2 linked regions of the Saccharomyces cerevisiae S288C genome follow. Changing the gene in region 1 together with any one later gene gives a genetic interaction. Each region holds a gene or a part of one and is shown in the gene's direction. Other genes may lie near its edges. The genes, in order: MNN9 and SED1.

The links.
Region 2: mutations in MNN9 (region 1) and SED1 are lethal when combined (synthetic lethality), as found in Saccharomyces cerevisiae (one study listed by BioGRID).

Annotation. Positions count from the first base shown.
Region 1 is NC_001148.4:459,991-463,851, reverse strand, and holds MNN9 (mannosyltransferase complex subunit MNN9), read left to right. Parts: upstream 1-1,885; coding exon 1,886-3,073; downstream 3,074-3,861. Other genes in the region: DIG1 (Dig1p), read left to right, coding at 13-1,371; Arf family GTPase ARL3, read right to left, coding at 3,293-3,861. UniProt on the Saccharomyces cerevisiae protein: The M-Pol I and M-Pol II complexes possess alpha-1,6-mannosyltransferase activity and are probably involved in the elongation of the mannan backbone of N-linked glycans on cell wall and periplasmic proteins.
Region 2 is NC_001136.10:598,757-602,309, forward strand, and holds SED1 (Sed1p), read left to right. Parts: upstream 1-2,036; coding exon 2,037-3,053; downstream 3,054-3,553. Other genes in the region: putative DNA-dependent ATPase RAD55, read left to right, coding at 1-932; SHU2 (Shu2p), read right to left, coding at 3,442-3,553. UniProt on the Saccharomyces cerevisiae protein: Component of the cell wall. Major cell wall protein in stationary phase cells. Required to stabilize the cell wall in the absence of multiple GPI-anchored mannoproteins.

The DNA of each region.
Region 1 (3,861 bases):
TAGAAAGTGAGAATGGCCGTATCAGCCCGTTTGAGAACGACTGCCGAGGATACATCCATTGCTAAATCAACACAAGATCCAATTGGTGATACAGAAATCAGTGTAGCAAATGCTAAGGGCAGCAGCGATAGCAACATTAAGAATTCGCCAGGCGGAAACAGCGTTGGTCAGGAGTCGGAGCTAGAGCATGTCCCTGAGGAGGATGACTCTGGTGACAAGGAAGCAGATCATGAGGATTCTGAGACAGCCACTGCGAAGAAGAGGAAAGCCCAACCATTGAAGAATCCGAAGAAATCATTGAAGAGGGGCAGAGTCCCGGCGCCTTTGAATTTATCGGATAGCAACACTAATACACACGGTGGTAATATTAAGGACGGCAACTTGGCTTCGTCTAACTCTGCACATTTTCCTCCTGTTGCTAATCAAAACGTGAAAAGCGCGCCCGCACAAGTTACTCAGCATTCCAAGTTCCAGCCCCGTGTCCAATACTTGGGAAAGGCCAGTTCTAGACAATCTATACAAGTGAATAATAGCAGCAATAGTTATGGGAAACCACACATGCCCTCGGCGGGCATCATGAGCGCCATGAACCCTTACATGCCCATGAATCGCTACATAATGTCACCATATTATAATCCGTACGGTATCCCTCCACCTCACATGCTGAACAAGCCCATAATGACACCCTACGTGTCGTATCCATATCCAATGGGACCGCGGACCTCCATTCCTTATGCTATGCAAGGTGGCAACGCTAGGCCCTACGAAGAAAATGAGTATAGTGCTAGCAATTACAGAAACAAGAGGGTTAACGACTCATATGATTCGCCTTTGAGTGGCACCGCTTCCACTGGGAAAACCAGACGATCCGAGGAAGGCTCAAGAAATTCTAGCGTAGGATCAAGTGCGAATGCCGGTCCTACGCAACAGCGCGCGGATCTACGCCCAGCAGATATGATACCTGCTGAAGAATACCACTTTGAACGGGATGCATTACTCTCGGCCAACACGAAAGCCAGAAGCGCAAGCACAAGCACAAGTACAAGCACAAGCACAAACCGGGACAGGAGTTCATGGCATGAGGCAGAACCCAATAAAGACGAAGAAGAGGGTACGGACTTGGCCATCGAGGACGGAGCGGTCCCCACTCCCACTTTTACTACGTTCCAGCGGACCTCGCAGCCGCAGCAGCAATCACCTAGTCTTCTTCAAGGCGAAATCCGACTCTCATCGCATATTTTTGCCTTCGAGTTCCCCCTGAGCTCTAGCAATGTAGACAAGAAAATGTTTATGAGCATATGTAATAAAGTATGGAATGAATCAAAGGAGCTGACAAAAAAATCATCATCACATCACAGAACCGGAAAATAGTAGCCACACAGGCACTTATAAACTTACATACACTCGCATACACTCACCTACTCACACACGCACTCACACACACACTCTCACTCGCACACCAAGGACAATTCAGTACATACACAATTTTTATATAAGTTTGATAAACTAAAAGATGAGGGTGAGTATTCACCTTATTAATAGTTACAGCCTTTATCGTCACTAGACACGACAGCATTGGTTTGTCTTTTTTTTTTTTTTTTTTTTTTCCTTTCCATCGTTGTAGCGGATTTGGCGTTGAAGTATTTTGATATAAGTAAAACAGAACACCAAATCAAGAATAATAAAGGAGGAAAAGTCGTCAACCAAGCGGATTCTCAATTGGTAGAAAAGCTTTTATTATTTTCTGTTAGCCGCTCTTGGGACCCGTTATTTCTGAACCTATTTTTCCTTCCGCACTTTGTGAAAGTAAGAAGAGAATAGCATCAATTTTAGTATTTTTCAAACAGAAGAATTTAAAAGAGCTAGAATAAAAAGTTAGGAAACAATGTCACTTTCTCTTGTATCGTACCGCCTAAGAAAGAACCCGTGGGTTAACATTTTTCTACCTGTTTTGGCCATATTTCTAATATATATAATTTTTTTCCAGAGAGATCAATCTCTGTTGGGACTTAATGGCCAGTCCATTTCCCAACACAAATGGGCACACGAAAAGGAAAACACATTTTATTTTCCCTTCACCAAGAAATACAAAATGCCAAAGTACTCTTATAAGAAAAAAAGCGGCTGGTTGTTCAACGATCACGTGGAAGATATTATCCCAGAAGGTCATATTGCACATTATGATTTGAACAAATTGCACTCTACGTCAGAAGCAGCTGTCAATAAGGAGCATATTTTGATATTGACTCCAATGCAAACATTTCATCAACAATACTGGGACAATTTGCTGCAGCTAAATTACCCTCGGGAATTGATTGAATTGGGGTTCATTACACCAAGAACAGCCACTGGTGACTTGGCCTTAAAGAAATTGGAGAATGCTATTAAAAAGGTTCAAACGGACAAGAAAACTCAAAGATTTAGTAAAATTACTATTTTGCGACAGAATTCCCAGAGTTTTGATAAGTTGATGGAGAAGGAAAGACACGCTTTAGATGTTCAAAAGGAAAGACGTGCAGCAATGGCTTTGGCGCGCAATGAATTACTATTCTCCACCATAGGACCTCACACTTCTTGGGTGCTGTGGCTAGATGCCGATATTATAGAGACACCACCATCTTTAATTCAAGACATGACCAAACACAACAAAGCTATCTTAGCTGCAAACATTTATCAAAGATTTTACGATGAAGAGAAGAAGCAACCATCAATCAGACCATACGATTTCAACAACTGGCAAGAAAGTGACACCGGTTTAGAAATAGCCTCTCAGATGGGTGATGACGAGATTATTGTCGAGGGTTATGCAGAAATTGCCACTTATAGGCCATTAATGGCTCATTTCTACGATGCTAATGGCGTACCAGGTGAAGAGATGGCGCTGGATGGTGTTGGTGGAGGCTGTACTTTGGTCAAAGCAGAAGTTCACAGAGACGGTGCCATGTTCCCTAATTTCCCATTTTATCACTTGATTGAAACAGAAGGTTTTGCTAAGATGGCGAAGAGATTAAACTACGATGTATTTGGCTTACCAAACTATTTGGTTTATCACATAGAGGAAGAGAACCATTGAGCAACTGAGCAAAAAGCATACAGAAGCTATAGCGTTATTGAAAGATAATATTGTTGCGATTATTAGTTGAAAATAAACAAAACAAGATATATATTCATATATATATATATATAATTTACACATGTATATTAAAAAATGCCGAATAAAAAGTGCTACAACAACTAATTTCTGAGCTTGAGAATAAACCATTCACATTTTATTTCTTTTGGTGCTTCTTTATCATTTATAAATCGGTGGTCTTGACTTTTTATTCCTTTCTAGTCTAACAATCATCCATTCTATAGCGTCTTTAACACCTTCTCCAGTCAATGCGCTTATTGGTAAAACCCTACTATCTCTAGCGCTTATATGTTCCGCAATCTTATTAAATACTTCTTTTATATCTTGTACTTCCATTCTATCTTGTCTATCTTGTTTATTGGCCAGCATCAAGATGGGTACACCTTCAATTTCTTCATCCATTACAACTGACTGTAGGGTCGTGGAACATTCGTCTAATCGTTCTCTATCTGAACTATCCACAATGAAAATTATACCATGACATAGGGAATAGTATTCGGACCACATTGATCTCAGTGATTCTTGACCACCTACATCCCAAAACTTCAAGATCTGTTTACTGTCAACGGGTATTGTCGCCACATTTTGTCCTACCGTAGGCTGTATCTTTTCCAAGGCTTTGAACGCCAGAGAGTATTCCTTTTTCAATGTCTCCAAGAACGTCGTTTTGCCTGCATTGTCTAGACCTAATATTAGAATTGAATATTGTTCCTTTTTATTCCAATTAT
Region 2 (3,553 bases), on another chromosome or scaffold:
TCGTGGAAGAAAATGTGAAGCGGGTCCGAATAACGAAATTTGGACAGCTATTATATTTCTTCCAGAATTTGTTCAAATTATCTCAAAGTGTGCGATATAAACTAGTTATAATTGATGGATTTTCTCAATTAGTCTGCGATCATCTGTGTACACTAAGTAAAAGAGGCGGCGGAATGATAGATAAAACTATACACGAGTTAAAATGTCGACATTTGATATTAATTTTTACGGTAATGACCAAATACACACATTCCACGGGTTCGACAATAATAGTTTTAAATGACTGTATGAACACCGCCTTCCAATCAAACGAATTCGAATCCTTGGAAGAATACTACGAAATTTTAGACGACGGATCTAACTTCTTTGTCAACTCTAACAACGAAAGGCGTAAGAACAATGTACATATATTGAAAAGCGCGCTCGTTGCCAATATCGCTATGGGAAGCAAGGATTCCACTTGGGAAGTATTTCTAAGAGACAGGATCGGCCTTTTTAGGGATTGGAATGAACAAGTGGACGAAACCGTTTTCGTGAAAAGCAAAAGAGTGAAGGCGTCATCCTCGCAGAGTAACGAGGGATGTACTACCATCAAAGAAATGAGAATAAACAAACGAAACTTTGAAAACTTGAGAATAGCTATTGTTTTTAATTTACACGGCGAAGATAGAAAAAGAGAAGGACGAAATTTAAAGCGGTCAAGAAGCAGCGACGATCGTAACTATATTGTCAAATTTGATTTTGATAAAGCAACAGGTCAACTCCGCGATATAATTGATCTGAAACCTGATACTGCTAATATTGCCTCATTTCCAACATTATCAACAAGCAGCAGCAGTTGCTCACAAGTGTTTAACAATATTGACTCCAATGATAATCCATTACCAAATGCGGAGGGAAAGGAGGAGATAATTTATGATAGTGAAGGTTAATAGTAAAATAAAAAAACCGAAAACCGAAAACAATAAAAAATGGAAAAACGACAACATTCCACCCAACAACTACAAAGAAAAGTTAAGGGTAATTTTACCTATTTAGGATTTTAATCTGTTGGAGTTAAGGTGAATACGTTTTTCCATATTGGGGTATGCAGCTCGAACCTAAAGTGGTATGTACACATCCCCTCAAGCACACCCATTACCCTTATAGGATTAATGTAAGCAACAGCTTACACGGAATTGGAAATACTATTCAACGATCCATGCATCTGCCAGATTCGGACATGCATATTCCCCAATTGGATATAGAAAATTAACGTAAGGCAGTATCTTTTCACAATGTACTTGCAACGCGGCGACTTAAAGTTGAAGTACAACCTGCAGCAGCGGCTTTTTGTACGGTACGCCAAACTGTCAATGGATAATATTGCGTAGACCGAAAAAGGTAATCCTCAACACTACCCGTGGTGGATGACCTAAAGCAGTAATATTGGTTGGAATTATCTCCCAGACGGCACCGTCTCCCCGAGAAAGCTTAGCCCCGAGGTCTACCTTCCATACACCACTGATTGCTCCACGTCATGCGGCCTTCTTTCGAGGACAAAAAGGCATATATCGCTAAAATTAGCCATCAGAACCGTTATTGTTATTATATTTTCATTACGAAAGAGGAGAGGGCCCAGCGCGCCAGAGCACACACGGTCATTGATTACTTTATTTGGCTAAAGATCCATCCCTTCTCGATGTCATCTCTTTCCATTCTTGTGTATTTTTGATTGAAAATGATTTTTTGTCCACTAATTTCTAAAAATAAGACAAAAAGCCTTTAAGCAGTTTTTCATCCATTTTACTACGGTAAAATGAATTAGTACGGTATGGCTCCCAGTCGCATTATTTTTAGATTGGCCGTAGGGGCTGGGGTAGAACTAGAGTAAGGAACATTGCTCTGCCCTCTTTTGAACTGTCATATAAATACCTGACCTATTTTATTCTCCATTATCGTATTATCTCACCTCTCTTTTTCTATTCTCTTGTAATTATTGATTTATAGTCGTAACTACAAAGACAAGCAAAATAAAATACGTTCGCTCTATTAAGATGAAATTATCAACTGTCCTATTATCTGCCGGTTTAGCCTCGACTACTTTGGCCCAATTTTCCAACAGTACATCTGCTTCTTCCACCGATGTCACTTCCTCCTCTTCCATCTCCACTTCCTCTGGCTCAGTAACTATCACATCTTCTGAAGCTCCAGAATCCGACAACGGTACCAGCACAGCTGCACCAACTGAAACCTCAACAGAGGCTCCAACCACTGCTATCCCAACTAACGGTACCTCTACTGAAGCTCCAACCACTGCTATCCCAACTAACGGTACCTCTACTGAAGCTCCAACTGATACTACTACTGAAGCTCCAACCACCGCTCTTCCAACTAACGGTACTTCTACTGAAGCTCCAACTGATACTACTACTGAAGCTCCAACCACCGGTCTTCCAACCAACGGTACCACTTCAGCTTTCCCACCAACTACATCTTTGCCACCAAGCAACACTACCACCACTCCTCCTTACAACCCATCTACTGACTACACCACTGACTACACTGTAGTCACTGAATATACTACTTACTGTCCAGAACCAACCACTTTCACCACAAACGGTAAGACTTACACCGTCACTGAACCAACCACATTGACTATCACTGACTGTCCATGCACCATTGAAAAGCCAACAACCACATCAACCACCGAATACACTGTAGTCACTGAGTACACTACTTACTGTCCAGAACCAACCACTTTCACCACAAACGGTAAGACTTACACCGTCACTGAACCAACCACTTTGACTATCACTGACTGTCCATGTACTATTGAAAAGAGCGAAGCCCCTGAGTCTTCTGTCCCAGTTACCGAATCTAAGGGCACTACCACCAAAGAAACAGGTGTTACTACCAAACAAACCACAGCCAACCCAAGTCTAACCGTCTCCACAGTCGTCCCAGTTTCATCCTCTGCTTCTTCTCATTCCGTTGTCATCAACAGTAACGGTGCTAACGTCGTCGTTCCAGGTGCTTTAGGTTTGGCTGGTGTTGCTATGTTATTCTTATAAACGGTGGTGTTTGACACATCCGCCTTCTTAATGCTTTCTTTCAGTATTATGTTATTTTTTTGTTATTCGTTTTTCACTTCTAGGCTTTTTGACAGACTAGCCCCGTTATACCACCATCTTTGTGGGAAAGCCCCTAAATTGCCCTGAGCAGTATCGTTTCATGTCTAGTCTCTTTAAAGATGTTTCTTACGCGTTGCGTGTAAAACATCCTCTCATTCAAGACAGGGTTTTCTAAAAGCAATAGGGGTAGTTTAATAATTCTTATATAATCATCATATACACTATTTTTAGTTCTTAATTCTTTAATACAAACTTATTAATGTGCTCTCCATTGATCTCTTAATCAGGAGGCGATATATACCGGAAGCGGTGTACTTTTCTTCACCTCTTACTCAACTATGTTGATGTGCAAGTTTAACCACTCGTCGATATTATCTATTGCTATAACGAAAACTTTATTCGAGTTCACAGTGAAAAACTTCAGCACATTTATGGAAGAT